2 linked regions of the Drosophila melanogaster genome follow. The protein of the gene in region 1 interacts with the protein of each later gene in a pairwise test. Each region holds a gene or a part of one and is shown in the gene's direction. Other genes may lie near its edges.

Region 1 (7,529 bases):
TATCTGACTCACTAGCATTGGGCAGCATTTTGTAGTTTTACACACGCAGAAAAGATTTACTCATACAAAGCCGCGTTTTGTAAATGATTTCAACTGTTGTGAATTCTGAATATCCTGACTATTTATTGAACAGGCAACAAGTCAAGCCTTGATTGATTATATCAAATCGTAGGTCATGGCTTCTAATCTGGTGCAGAGCCATAAGTTTGCCACTCGAAGAAAAATTCAAGGATTCCGGAAACTAATCAAATACCAAATGTTTGTTAACAGGATATGAAAAAATAATGTTTTCCCTAGCATAACCAGTTTTAAAAGATTTTTTTCAGTCCGTTAAATGTATGCAAAGAAAACTGTATTGTATTCAAACCATTCATCTTTAGTTTCCCTCACAAGTTCATTCCTTTTTCTTCGTGTGTATAGCAGCATTGTTATTTGACCTAATCTGTGTCTTTGCCCCATTGTTTTGCCGCGTTTTGATTTGTGCCCCCAATAAGTCCATCTGGAGTCAATGTGCTACCAAACGATAGGGAAGTTCGAGCTTCGAAGGATGCGTGGTGGTAGGTAGGGCGATCTAATCGCGGAGCTCTTCTCCTTTATGGATCAGCAAACATTTGGGCGTTGTCACACTCGCGAATGCGGAATTCCGACACCATTTCTTTGATTGATAAACAAATTGCCCGCTGCTTGTTTACTTTACTGCCAGCGCAGATTTCTCACGAGTTAACCAACCATTAAACGAGAACTCACAAACTCAAGGACTCAGCAGGGGGAATCATCCTGGAATCACTTTGCCATCATCTCAAATCCGGTTACGTGTTTCGTTTGGCTGGCATGGGATTATGCGGTGGATTTAATTGTTTAAAAACAATCGAAAGCACTGGGGCACGTTGAGATTTGAATTGCCGTGCACAACTGCGGGTGGTTAGATGGGTCAATGGCAACGCATGCCCAGACCCCCAAATAATTGTGAACAAATGTGTCTTCAGTTGGCGTTGGTGGAGGAGCGCACCATTGCAAGCGACGCTGAAAAAGGCGATGATGTCCTGACACACTTCGAATTGCCAGAGTCCTTTTGCCAAAAAAAAAAAAAAAAAAAAAATTCCAAATTCCTTCGCATGCCAATGGAGCGGCATGGACAGAGAAGGGATGACGAGATGGAGAGACGGTGAGACGTCGAGATGGAGAGAGGATATCCAGATATGCATTGGAATACAAAGTGTGGGATAAAAGCATTTCTGTATCGCTATTATTCATTGGTCATGCGCAGTCAGCCGCGCCTCATTTCCGCTCGAGAGTCGGGAGTTGGACCATATTCGCAATAATAGTAAGTATGTTGGGCATGTGGTGTGTGTTTTGGACCAAGTATACATTTTCCCCTCCCCCGTATAATTACGGCCATAAAGCAATCCAACTATCCAGCTAGCCAAACTATTTCAGTTCCATCTGCCAGAGTTTGGAATCCTTGAGGCCATGTACATATACCGAAATATACTATATATATATATATATATGCATGGGATGTGTAGCGATTTTTGATAGATATAAAATACATAAACGTAATTGCGGTACTCACCAATGGAAATTCGGGAAATTCGAAAAAAATCAAAACCAGAATCCATTGAAACAGTAGTTGGAGAGTAGTTATGAATTATTTGTTATCCGTTTTGCGTTTAAGTTTGCTTTTAAGTTTACATTGTACTGCTTTATGAACACACTCAGTTTGTTATTTTGGCCAAACAGTAAAAAAAATATGCAAAAAATTTTCATAAAATATGTATTTTATGATCTTTTCATCCTTACGCCATCAGCATATACATATACACGCATATATGTGCACATATATAGACATATATATATATTTATTCTATTTTTGTATTTTCCATATTTGATTTGAATGTGCTGATTTAGTAGCCGATTTTAGAGCTGCGTTGCGTTGCGTTTCGTTACGTTACTATATCAAACATTTGATTCTGAGTAGTTATTTGTTGGGTTTTCACATTTTGCCCACCCGTTCGGCATTTCGTTTTTCCTCTTTTCTTTTACTTTTTTCCATATATATATATATATACATATATATATACGCGTATGTATATATATATATTCTAAGTTCACGGTGTGTTGGGATTTGAAAACGAATTTCTTTGTTAATATATATATATATATATATATATATGTATATACTTTTGCCTGGGCTGGTTGTTCAGTTGTGTTTCTGGGGTATTTGTTGGATCTTTTTGGGCGCCGACTCGGGGATTATTCCTCAATAAACTATTGCTCCGCTGGCTGCGAACTATACGGCTATTTCCTGCATCTGCACTCTTTTCTGCTGCTTTCGTATTTCGTTTTGTTTGTTTGTTTGTTTTTTTTTTTTTTTGGTTTTTGTATGTTTTTTGTGTTTTTTGTATTAATTTATTTTATTTTTTTATTGCTGCTGCTGCTTCTTCTATTAAAAACTATCGCCGTGTCTCGTGCCTCGCTAACCGCTTTCCGCAATTGCAAACAACGTTCTAAAGCTCTCGAACACGTCTGCAGGATTTTGGCCAGGCGAAAAACGATTGCCTCCAACCGGAGGCAAACCAGGCAGCCAACCCAGTCGACCAGCCATTCTTCAGTCAGCCAAATACGACGCAGTCGCAGAGCACCGGAATCTCAACTGGGAGATTCCCAATCCCGGCCATCCCATCCCATACCAATATATCTCAAACCAAGCCCAGCCGAGTGGCCACATCTCTCGCTCTCCGCTTCTATTGTCACGTCACAATTCAGCATCTTGGCTCTCTCGGGCTGTGTGGGCCACATCCTTTTGGTCCTCGGATGGATGTTGGTTGGTGTTCGGCACTCAGCCGCTGGCTCTCTCGCCGAAAGTCGGTAAAAAAAAAATCCACTCCTTGGCCCCAACGAGTCTTACAATCCGGGTACGTCTGTTTATGTCCGTTATGTGGAGCAAAAGGGTATATTGTATTCGTGCAAAGGTGCGTAATTGTAAAAGGAAGTGTAGTATACACCTACGCCTCTACATACGTTTCCATCTAGCCGTGTCTGTCTGTCTCTCTGTATCTCTGTCTGGCTGCCTGTCTATCTGGCCGTCGAGATCTTGGCCAGAACAATGGACAGAGAACTGGGTCCACACTGTTCCACGCCACAGATTGGCCACGCCCCCGTCGTCTAATTGAATGAAGCTATATCCTTCTTACGCCCAGCTAGCAGTGACCTGATTTAAATTAACTGGTTTCGAAATGAAGTTTGGGCGAATGAAAGCCTAAAAATAAATACAGACCGCATTGTTAGCCAACATACATAAATGGAAAATCATGGAAAATTACAATGAAATAATATGTATAAGAAATTGAAAAAAAAATATATATATATCTAAAAGTGTTACGGATTTCAGGCGCAGGTTGCATGTTTATACTTTTAGTTTTGCTTTTTAATTTGAATATATTAAATTGAAAACAAAATTGAAATATGTGCACCTGTTTACCTGTTTATTTTTCGAGAGCAAAACGCACTTTGTTCTTCAAAATAAAGCAAAATTAAAATACACACAAGTAGTATAGTTTAATGGATTTCACAGGCACACACCTCCTTGGAAAATGCGTTTGATCAAAATTTCATATTCGGCACTTAATGAGGTGGTAAGTATATGCCTTGTGTGCAAACGCTTTCTAAAATATTTACTGTGCAATTAGGGTAAATGATTAAAAAAGTGGTAATTTTAGGGCGCAGTTGGTAAGCTATAAATGAAAGAAATGCCTTAAGATGTACCTAGTGCTGTGGCATTTATCAGATAGTCATGTTCTATTCGTATCCCTACAAAGCACTTAGCTTTCCCATTCAGTGCGTTTGGCTGAAACTGAATGGTTCTTGGCCATTAACCGAATCATCGAGGCCATGGAGGAGCCAATCCTTATTGGCCACCGCCTACATCGTGTGGGCGTGGTACGTCATTGCATCTGTGGGCATAACAATCAGCTATCAGACGGCCTTTTTGCTGAACAACCTTTCGGACATTATTATCACCACGGAAAATTGTTGCACCACCTTTATGGGTGTCCTGAACTTTGTCCGACTCATCCATCTTCGCCTCAATCAGAGGAAATTCCGCCAGCTTATTGAGAACTTTTCCTACGAAATTTGGATACCTAAGTGAGTCGATTCATTAGGGTTATTATAAGCGATGTTAAATGATCATCGCATTAAACTGCAGAGCATTGAAAACTATAGAGGTTTGCAATCTTACTTGAGTAAATGCGCAGAAAAGTGTGCTACATTGTTGTGTGCAAAAGAGCAAACTTTGCTTTCTAAGCATGCTTTTGGACACTTAAAGTGGTTTTGAGATAATATAGACTTTTGAGTAACTATACCCATCTTCAAACTGTATTTGTAAGAAAATCTTTATTTACATATATAAATATATGATGGGTTCCAGTTCTTCCAAAAACAATGTTGCCGCCGAGTGTCGCAGACGCATGGTTACCTTCAGCATAATGACATCCTTGCTAGCGTGCCTGATCATAATGTATTGTGTCCTGCCGCTGGTGGAGATCTTCTTTGGACCCGCCTTCGATGCACAGAACAAGCCGTTTCCCTACAAGATGATCTTTCCGTACGATGCCCAGAGCAGTTGGATCCGATATGTGATGACCTACATCTTCACCTCCTACGCGGGAATCTGTGTGGTCACCACCTTGTTTGCAGAGGACACCATTCTTGGCTTCTTCATAACCTACACTTGTGGCCAATTTCATTTGCTACACCAACGAATCGCAGGTTTATTTGCGGGTTCCAATGCGGAATTGGCCGAGAGCATTCAGCTGGAGCGACTCAAACGTATTGTGGAAAAACACAACAATATTATCAGGTTGGTATCGTGCCAATATTCAATTACAATGATTCTATTACAATGATCCTATTACAATGATTCTATTACAATGATTCTATTACAACGATTATATTACAAATATTCTATCACAACGATACTATTACAATGATTCTATTACAATGATTCTATTACAACGATACTGTTACAATGATTCTTTTACAACGATTCTATTACAATGATTCTATTACAATAATTCTATTACAACGATTTTATTACAATAATTCTATTACAACGATTTTATTACAATGATTCATTTCAATGATTCTTTTACAACGATTTTATTACAATGATTCTATTACAATGATTCATTACAATGATTCTATTACAACGATTCTATTACAATGATTCTATTACAACGATTTTATTACAATGATTCATTTCAATGATTCTATTACAACGATTTTATTACAATGATTTTATTACAATGATTTTATTACAACGATTCTATTACAACGATTCTATTACAATGATTCTATTACAACGACTCTATTACAATGATTCCATTACATGTTACTTTGATTTTGCCAATAGTTTTGCTAAGCGCCTCGAGGACTTTTTCAACCCAATTCTACTGGCCAATCTAATGATTTCCTCCGTACTTATTTGCATGGTTGGCTTTCAAATAGTTACTGTAAGCATTGGCAGTAAATATTTTAATATAATGACTAGCTTTTCTTTCTAAACTTCATAAGGGAAAAAATATGTTCATTGGAGACTATGTGAAGTTCATAATTTACATATCCTCGGCCCTTTCACAATTATACGTTCTTTGCGAGAATGGCGACGCATTGATAAAACAGGCAAGAATGTAGATTGTTTTTTTTTTTAATATATTAATAAACTATTTCCGATAAACAGTCTACCTTAACAGCGCAAATTCTGTATGAATGCCAGTGGGAAGGATCCGATCGCATTGAGATACAATCGTTCACGCCAACAACCAAGCGAATCCGAAACCAGATTTGGTTTATGATCCTCTGCAGTCAACAGCCTGTAAGGATTACGGCTTTCAAGTTCTCAACGTTGTCCTTGCAGAGTTTTACGGCCGTATGTCTACAAAAAAAAAATATATATATATATATATATATCAATTGCACAATTAAACTCATCTCTTTCAGATTCTAAGTACCTCGATAAGTTACTTTACATTATTGCGGTCAGTTTACTTCGACGACGAAAAGAAACTAGATTAAATAAAAACGTGGAGCTCTGTTTAAGGTTATGTTGCTTTCTGCTGATTTTCAAAATTCGAAACTTTGACAAATTTTGAAGCTGGGATTGGAGCTCCTAGAGGTTATCCCTCTCCTTGCACAGCCAGCGCTCCTAGTTGGCCATGATTTAATGCCCTAAATCTGGTTCGTTTTTCATTCGGTACCTTTCAGTCAGTACGGAACAAATATTCATACAATCTTTTCGAGATCTTTTATAAGTTTTGTAAATTCATTTGTACTAACTTACATCATTTCGCCATGCCTTCCGTCGAGTGGGTCTGTGGTTTGCTCTACTACGTTATGCGCACCTACATAAAGGTATTCGTATCCAGTTGCGAAGCACACTTCCCTATCGATATCCTTGACAAGGTGAGTGAGAAATGGATGGAGCAGCATGTGATGGACTCAATACACTATCCCAAACTTGCAGATTGTGTATTTGATAGATTTCGCCGAAGTTTCCATGAAGATAATGCGCCGGCCAAGAAATTACACGAATCCGACTGAGCGCCAAGCGAGACGCCTTCAATTCTACAATTTCCTTTTAAAGTTAAGATTTTTGGCACAGGTGATCTACACCTTGGTAGCCGTGGTAATTGGGACACTTAAAACATAAAAATTTATTTAATATGTTCCAAAAAATTCTATACATACTCATTGAAATATTTTTTTTTTTTTTTTTTTTTGACCATTCTAAGCTTTCTGTAATCCATGTAAAATAGCGTACAAAACGGGACAGGGCTGCGACCCGCGCTGATTGTTTGGACTGCGATGTGCTGTATTACTTGGCTGCCGTGGCTCCTTGAGGGACTGATCAACTATTTGTTTAAATGATGGACGCCATGGCGTTAGACATATATTTTTCAAAATTTTCCCTAACATGTAGCTATTCCTGAAATGTAGCAAATAAAGCACTGTTCTGCTTCGTACATTCTCAATTCTTCACGATGAAGGTGTGTGAACTTTTTGCGACGACTGTATACTCTCTTCAGCATTCTAACTCGATTTCGTGCATTTATTTTGCAAAAAATGCCAAAATTTGGCCAAAAATTAATTTCACAAAGCCTGTCAAAAAGTGATATGGGTTCTTAGTATTGGTAATTCGTATTAAAAAATAACTGTACTTCTTTTGGCCATTATAGCCATTTTTAGTCAAGTTATAACCAAAAAACCCATCTTAAATATTGCATTTTTTGCCAAAAATCAAAAATGGGCTAAAAATTTAAATTTTCAAAATTTATTAAAAAGAGATACAGAGCTGCACAAAAACTTAATTCAATTTGACTAAAAACTGCTAAAAACGATATACAATTTATTTGATTCTTAAGAATTCGCGACTATTCCCAAAAGTAGATTTAAAAGGCCAGGCAAATATTTTCTTATTTTTAATGAATTTCTCAGACAAACATAAGATCACAAATAGTAACTATTAATAT
Region 2 (8,491 bases), on another chromosome or scaffold:
CTAAATCGGGGCCAATATAGTTGCCAAACTCATCGTACAAATCGGAATCCATGGTTTTTCCTAAAATAAATATATATATCAATACTTTCATTCAAAATTTGCCGGTGGCGTCTTAGAAAATTTAAAACTTTCACGGTGACTCGAAACTTATGCTACTCTTGTTTTTTGTTGTTTTTACCGACTTACCAATTGTTACAGGACCTTCTGATTGCTAAATTCTTCTTTAAAACGTAAGAAAACTGCAAATAATATAATTATTCACAATTTTTACACAAAAACGCGGACTGCAAACACGCTGTTCTTCTTCTTCCCCGAAAAACACTCAGCTGTTAAGCGGCCGGCATTACCTACGGCATTGCCAGCACAAATAAAGTAAGCGCTTGCAGCCCTGGCGGCAACATTTGAATTTTCCAGTTCATTAGGGCTAATTAACGTTTTTGCCAAGAAAGCAGGTAGCTAAAATACGCGTTGAAACGTAGGTAGACCCTTGCGTTTATATTGCACTGCAGTCGCCAAAGGTAATTAGTCGAAAGTGTCAACCGAAGGTATCAGCATCATAATGAGAAAATTCTGTTTGCTTCTTTTAATGGCGCATTTTGTGGCCTCAAGCCGAAATTTAAACGATATTCTCGGTCGCGAGGAGTGGATTAGCATAGCCAAGGAATACATCAAGAACCACAAGCCTTACAAAGCCAAAATCTACACACCCTACAAGCCGCGCATCGTAAATTTTACCAATCCGTTCGATGGAGATTTTTGGGACACAACTACGGTGGCCACCAATCCGCAGGAGACTACTGGCTACTTCACTGGGGAAGTATCTACTACAACGGAGAAAAGTGCCACTGAGGAATCTACAACTACGGCGGTGGATTATTCAACCACCGAATCTAGTTATGTAACTTCAACCACGGATACTTTATATTCCACGACAACAGCTTGGCCGGAAGTCACCAGCACAGATGCTATAGATGCCACTGAATCAGTAGCCCTATATTCCACAACAACTTCGAGTCCAGAAGCTGCAGATTCAACGACAGAAAGCAATTCAGACAGTACTGAATATGCTGAATCAACGTTAATTTATCCAGATTTATCTACAGGATGGCAAGAAACTACTACAGAAACCATTCAGAGCTCTACAGGATTGCAGGAATCAACAACAACAGAGTTTATGCCAAGTACTACGGAATTTCCGGAATCAACGACTACTTTAAGTTCTGAATTTTCAGAGAAAGAACTAATAAAAACTACCACAGAAATAGAAATCAATCCAAGCACTACAGAATTGCCGGAATCAACGACTGAATCTGCTGATTCTACCACAGAACCGAACGAATCCACGTTTGCATTATCCACAGATCAAACTACAACTGAAACAGCAGAAACTTCAACAGAAGAATTGTTTTCAACCACAGAAACCCAGGAATCTACTACATCCTTGCTGGAAATCATTGCCACGACTCCGGGCGTGGAAACTACCACGTCGTATCTGGATGCAGTGATTGACAGCACCGAAGAGGAAAGTTCTACATTATCAACACCATTTGGATTTAATTTAACAACAACGGAAATAGTAGAAACTCAAGTAGAAACCACAACACCAAGGCAATTGAATTTCGTCGAAGATTACGTTCGCCAGAGACCGAGAAAATTGAAGTACTCTTCGGACACGGAGCCGGAACTTTACTGGTACTGAAAATGATTGCAAATAAAAATTAAGAGTTTGATTAAAAATTTTTAGAAGCAAAAATTAAGAGTTTTAATTTAAATAAAAACGTAAAGCAATTGGCAACGCGATTTAAGCTATGGCTTATTTTAAACTAAGAAACGCGGTCACACTGGCCAAAAGCCAAACACATTGTTGTTTGATTTTTCAGCAGAAATTTTTTATTTTTTATTAGTTTATATCGTAAACATGAGTTTGTCCAGCATAAAACAGAAAGAAGCTAAGGGCAAAAAGAAATTGCTGCCCAAACTGCGCAATATTCTAGCCAATCCTTACAAACAGCACAGGTGAGGCGGGCAGAAACCAATAAAAACCCAATCAACAGGTTGTTTCTTTTGACTTTAGCCCTCTTTTATCGGAGGAGGAAGTGCAGCAGTTCCGTCAGATCCTTCAGAATGCAATTAAAAGCAGCGACGGGCAGACCAAATCGTTTGCCACTCGATACGGAATACATCTCGGCCTGGAGAGCTCCCTACGCGCCATAAACTCGCGGCGTTTCTCCTGCCTATTGGTTTCCTTGAGCCTGCGACCAACTCACCTCGTCCGTCTAATGGCCACCAGTGCATCTGTCAAGATGCCCACGTGCTCCTTGATCTGGAACTTGAGCTTCTTCACTGGCTCTATAAGCGGCTTGTCCAGCGGCTGGGCGTCCTCCTCCTGGACAATGGTCTCCACATCCGGGCCGTAGACCTCAACTGCTGACGGATAGTAGCGTTTGTCCTCGTGCAAAACCACGGCGGTCACCTCCTTGTCCTCGTCCTCCTGTGGCTCCACCTCGTCCTCGTCCATGGCGTCCTTTAAATGAAACACCATAAATTAATTATAAGTTTTATTTTATTTTTTGCACGTTTATACCTCTGGGTCATCCTGCACATCGGGTTGCCCATAAATACTTTGCTCATCTTCCTCGTCGCTGTCTAAATCGGGGCCAATATAGTTGCCAAACTCATCGTACAAATCGGAATCCATGGTTTTTCCTAAAATAAATATATATATCAATACTTTCATTCAAAATTTGCCGGTGGCGTCTTAGAAAATTTAAAACTTTCACGGTGACTCGAAACTTATGCTACTCTTGTTTTTTGTTGTTTTTACCGACTTACCAATTGTTACAGGACCTTCTGATTGCTAAATTCTTCTTTAAAACGTAAGAAAACTGCAAATAATATAATTATTCACAATTTTTACACAAAAACGCGGACTGCAAACACGCTGTTCTTCTTCTTCCCCGAAAAACACTCAGCTGTTAAGCGGCCGGCATTACCTACGGCATTGCCAGCACAAATAAAGTAAGCGCTTGCAGCCCTGGCGGCAACATTTGAATTTTCCAGTTCATTAGGGCTAATTAACGTTTTTGCCAAGAAAGCAGGTAGCTAAAATACGCGTTGAAACGTAGGTAGACCCTTGCGTTTATATTGCACTGCAGTCGCCAAAGGTAATTAGTCGAAAGTGTCAACCGAAGGTATCAGCATCATAATGAGAAAATTCTGTTTGCTTCTTTTAATGGCGCATTTTGTGGCCTCAAGCCGAAATTTAAACGATATTCTCGGTCGCGAGGAGTGGATTAGCATAGCCAAGGAATACATCAAGAACCACAAGCCTTACAAAGCCAAAATCTACACACCCTACAAGCCGCGCATCGTAAATTTTACCAATCCGTTCGATGGAGATTTTTGGGACACAACTACGGTGGCCACCAATCCGCAGGAGACTACTGGCTACTTCACTGGGGAAGTATCTACTACAACGGAGAAAAGTGCCACTGAGGAATCTACAACTACGGCGGTGGATTATTCAACCACCGAATCTAGTTATGTAACTTCAACCACGGATACTTTATATTCCACGACAACAGCTTGGCCGGAAGTCACCAGCACAGATGCTATAGATGCCACTGAATCAGTAGCCCTATATTCCACAACAACTTCGAGTCCAGAAGCTGCAGATTCAACGACAGAAAGCAATTCAGACAGTACTGAATATGCTGAATCAACGTTAATTTATCCAGATTTATCTACAGGATGGCAAGAAACTACTACAGAAACCATTCAGAGCTCTACAGGATTGCAGGAATCAACAACAACAGAGTTTATGCCAAGTACTACGGAATTTCCGGAATCAACGACTACTTTAAGTTCTGAATTTTCAGAGAAAGAACTAATAAAAACTACCACAGAAATAGAAATCAATCCAAGCACTACAGAATTGCCGGAATCAACGACTGAATCTGCTGATTCTACCACAGAACCGAACGAATCCACGTTTGCATTATCCACAGATCAAACTACAACTGAAACAGCAGAAACTTCAACAGAAGAATTGTTTTCAACCACAGAAACCCAGGAATCTACTACATCCTTGCTGGAAATCATTGCCACGACTCCGGGCGTGGAAACTACCACGTCGTATCTGGATGCAGTGATTGACAGCACCGAAGAGGAAAGTTCTACATTATCAACACCATTTGGATTTAATTTAACAACAACGGAAATAGTAGAAACTCAAGTAGAAACCACAACACCAAGGCAATTGAATTTCGTCGAAGATTACGTTCGCCAGAGACCGAGAAAATTGAAGTACTCTTCGGACACGGAGCCGGAACTTTACTGGTACTGAAAATGATTGCAAATAAAAATTAAGAGTTTGATTAAAAATTTTTAGAAGCAAAAATTAAGAGTTTTAATTTAAATAAAAACGTAAAGCAATTGGCAACGCGATTTAAGCTATGGCTTATTTTAAACTAAGAAACGCGGTCACACTGGCCAAAAGCCAAACACATTGTTGTTTGATTTTTCAGCAGAAATTTTTTATTTTTTATTAGTTTATATCGTAAACATGAGTTTGTCCAGCATAAAACAGAAAGAAGCTAAGGGCAAAAAGAAATTGCTGCCCAAACTGCGCAATATTCTAGCCAATCCTTACAAACAGCACAGGTGAGGCGGGCAGAAACCAATAAAAACCCAATCAACAGGTTGTTTCTTTTGACTTTAGCCCTCTTTTATCGGAGGAGGAAGTGCAGCAGTTCCGTCAGATCCTTCAGAATGCAATTAAAAGCAGCGACGGGCAGACCAAATCGTTTGCCACTCGATACGGAATACATCTCGGCCTGGAGAGCTCCCTACGCGCCATAAACTCGCGGCGTTTCTCCTGCCTATTGGTTTCCTTGAGCCTGCGACCAACTCACCTCGTCCGTCTAATGGCCACCAGTGCATCTGTCAAGATGCCCACGGCTCCCATTTACGCGCAGCCCAAACTGGAGGAGCTTACCCAGGAAATCTTTGGCGTTAGAGCGCTTTCCTTGGCCTTGCCATTAGATTTGAAAGCAATAAGCGAGGACTTGGAACAGTGGATTACTGCCCGAAAGAGAACACCTACACCTGCTAAGAAGATAGCCCCGAAAACGCACAAAAAACCCAAGAAGAAACCCGAAATAATCAAACCAGCCGAAGAGGAAAAAAAACCGCAGCTCCCAGTGGCTGAAAAGAAGGATTGGGGTGATGATTTCATATCCTGCTTCTCGGACGAACCCTCAGTAAAGTTGGACCGCGTGGATGTCCAGGTGGAGACCCAAAAACTGGGCAATGCCCTCAGTAATTTGGCAATGAAAGCCAAAAGTAAAAAGCCGGTAGTAGAAGTCAAAAATAACCCTGTTAAAAAAGAGAAGTCCCCCAGCCCAGAGCCCATGGAGGTGGAGCCACATGATGATGATGATTTCCTGCCCGCAGATCTGCACAACTATCGCCCCCTTACTGTCTACCAAGTGCGTCCTAATCCCGACAAGAAACCCAAAAAGAAACGAAACAAAAAGGCAAACAAGTCCTAGAGATGGTTGGCAACGCCACCGCAACAGCTGTAGTTTTTAGGTTATGTTATTCAGTTTGTTATCGTAATTGTTAAGGCGCCCACACAAAATGCTCCGGACTTTTCGTCAAATAGCCCGACTAGGAAGATCCCTAAGGACGCCATTTCCATCTAAAAGTCTGCCTAAACTCTCAACCACCTTAGAGCTGCAGGCTCCTGTACACACCAGTGCTTCAGCGTGGAAGTACGACAAGAAATCCTCACGAGCATCGGATGACTTGGACAGCGACGACGAGGATGATGAGGATTTCAAGGACGAAAGGGACTCCAAGGTGGTCAAGACCAAGGTGAACTCACTGCGCGCCGATCTCCTACTGAAAGCTGGCCTGGGCATGGCGAGAAAGTAAGAAACAGCCGAAGGTTTTCTAAATGCCCCCAATAACCATGATGTCTTACCTCCCACAGCAAAGTGGAACTGAATTTCTACGAGAGCAAGATACGCGTCAATGGAAAGAAGCTGCCCAAAAAGAGTGCCCAGGTATGGAGTCCATATATAGATCGAATTCAATCTTATGATTTACCATTTACAGCTGGAAGTCGGCGATGAAATCGACGTAATCCGAGGCTTTAGTCAATCGAATCCTTCCCATCTGGTCGTGGCCCGCGTCTCAATCCTCTCCGTCAGCGAGCGCGAGGAAGGACTCAGCGTCCACCTGAGGCGCTACAAATCCCTGCTGGTCGAGAATTACCGGGGACCCAACGCCTTCAAATCCTCAGAGCACGTTGCTCATTAAAACCAATTAGAAATAAAGAGACTATTAAGAGTAAATGGGTAAAGTCGAGTGAGTTAACTCAATTGCAGAAATGTGTAAGACTATATCGTCGATTTGCATTATTTTTCCTGTTTTCATTTATTTTGTAGTTGAACATCTAGAGTATTTTACATCTTTTCCTTTATATACGACTTATGGTCACCACATCCGACAACTCTCAGCCTTCGGATGCATTGGACTGCCCAGTGGGCACTTGTAGACCTCAGCAAAATCGTCGTTGTTGGAAACGGCACCCAGCACCCGATACTTATCGACGGTATGTGCGCCAGTGAGCTCCTCCCAGTAGTGCTCCGGCTCGTAGTCGGCGCACCACAGCTGCGCGAATCCCACGAAGAAGAGCTGCTCCGGCGACAGGTCGAGGCCGGGCATCTGCTCGTTTTTGTGAGCCAACGTCTCCCCATCCGCTCCACTTCGTTGCAGCTGCTTCATGTGGTTTCGATAGCCGGTGAGTGCGGCCCTCAAGCCACCGGCGTCCGCTATGTTCTCGTCCCTTGTCTCATTGCCGCGAATTGTCTGGTTGATTTCCGGTATCAAGTATTGGTTGAAGTAATCCACATAGCACTGCGCCCGTTCCTGGAATACCGCCTCCGACTTCCTGGACCACCAGTCGCGTACTTCGCCGGCGCTGTCGAAACTGGAGCCCTCCGTATCGAAGCCGTGGGTCAACTCGTGACCTATCAGATAGCCAATGGTGCCGAACTTCAAGGAATCGGGCCATGAACGGTGGTACGCAGGCGGATGCAGTACTCCCGCCATCACGTACACCGAGTTATCCAGATTGTAGTAGAAGGCGTTCACCTGCATTCCCACGAGCAGTGTCAGTGGCTTTGTGTCCTTGGGCAGCTCGTCCGCATGTAAGCCAGCGTAGCGATGAAGATAGGTGCCCAATACTCGCAGATTGATCAAACTCTGGGCATAGCTGCCTTCAACAATGGTCAGATTGTTGATCTCGCGGATTAGAGTGTCCGACAGCTCTTCGTTTTTGTAACTGCCGATTACTGGCGTGATGCCGGCCTCCTTGCTCAGAGCCTCTGCTCGCGTCTCCGCGTCCAACCACTCCACACTCTCGAGGATCTGTCGCTGGGCCTTTCGCATTTCGGTCACCATGTCAGAGATCTCCGAGTGCTTCTCGTCGGTGAAGTGCTCCTATGAAAGTTAGTTGATATCAATTGAAAAGCTAAGCTTCACATATTCACAGCATCCAACTCACCGCCATGTAGAGCCTGTTGAACAGATTTGGCAGCGTCATCTGGACGATCATCAAGCAGTTAACCTTTTGGTCCTCCGGCTGCTTGGGCTCCTTCAGCTTGTCGTCCATGCGGTAGAGAAACCGCATGGCTAGATAATTGGCCACCGCCTCCGTATGCTTGGCGCACACCTTGTCGAGCTCCACATAGTAAAAGTCGCAGAATTCGCCACCGGACGAGCCGTTGTAAAAGTCTATACCATTCCAGGCTATCTCGTAGTAGCTCCTCCACTGACCAAATCGCGGCACCTCCTCAATCTCACTGAGCAAATCGCACTTATCCCTATCGCTCTCGAACTTATCCTCAATACTGAGCGCCTCGCTCCAAAAAGCAAAGACGCCTTCGATCACGGCAGAGATTTCATCCTTCGTGAGATTGTATTCCTTCAGGTAGCCACGCATGCGATGCTCGTTGAGCTGGTAGGCCCGCGAGCTCGTATTGGCAACGTGAGCGGTGTGGACGACATGGTCAAAGCCCAGTTCGGGTAGCTTGAAGTACGGATTGAAGGGATGCTGCGGCAGAATTTCTTCGTGGATCAAACTGCGAACGCCGTAGTTGCTGAGATGGGCGCTCATGTTGAACCAACTGAAGCTGGAGGCGTTCCAGGCGTCTCTGTCGACGGCGGGAAAACCACCCAGCGACCTGATAACCGATAGATAAGCGGGATCGGCAGCGGGCCGCGGAAAGAGCTCGGCCGCCAGGCAGGAATTGTAGAAGCGTTGTGCAACGAGCAGCTCGGCGGACACGTTCAGTGCCTCCGCCAACTTTGTCCTGGTCAGCAGCTGCTCCGTCACGTCCATCAGTGTGTAGCTGATGTCCAGAATATTGCTCCGCCTATGGGGCGATTGCCGCGGCGTTTTCACGTTCTTCCAGTTGCCGCA

What was found.
Region 2: the proteins of CG42766 (region 1) and CG4884 interact in a two-hybrid assay, tested with the Drosophila melanogaster proteins (one large-scale study listed by BioGRID).

What each region holds. Positions count from the first base shown.
Region 1 is NC_004354.4:15,970,632-15,978,160, forward strand, and holds CG42766 (uncharacterized protein), read left to right. Parts: upstream 1-6,236; 5' UTR 6,237-6,351; coding exon 6,352-6,462; intron 6,463-6,523; coding exon 6,524-6,709; 3' UTR 6,710-6,791; coding exon of another isoform or gene 6,792-6,815; 3' UTR 6,816-7,029; downstream 7,030-7,529. Other genes in the region: Or13a (odorant receptor 13a), read left to right, coding at 3,794-4,146, 4,430-4,861, 5,414-5,513, 5,575-5,682, 5,741-5,929, 6,001-6,075.
Region 2 is NT_033777.3:27,955,249-27,963,739, reverse strand, and holds CG4884 (uncharacterized protein), read left to right. Parts: upstream 1-4,494; 5' UTR 4,495-4,564; coding exon of another isoform or gene 4,565-4,662; intron 4,663-4,720; coding exon of another isoform or gene 4,721-5,552; 5' UTR 5,553-5,640; coding exon 5,641-5,933; intron 5,934-5,995; coding exon 5,996-6,068; intron 6,069-6,120; coding exon 6,121-6,324; 3' UTR 6,325-6,384; downstream 6,385-8,491. Other genes in the region: CG4849 (uncharacterized protein), read right to left, coding at 1-52; CG31131 (uncharacterized protein), read left to right, coding at 560-1,699; CG31253 (uncharacterized protein), read left to right, coding at 3,206-4,345; CG42487 (uncharacterized protein), read left to right, coding at 4,565-4,662, 4,721-5,552; Nep7 (neprilysin 7), read right to left, coding at 6,502-7,509, 7,574-8,491.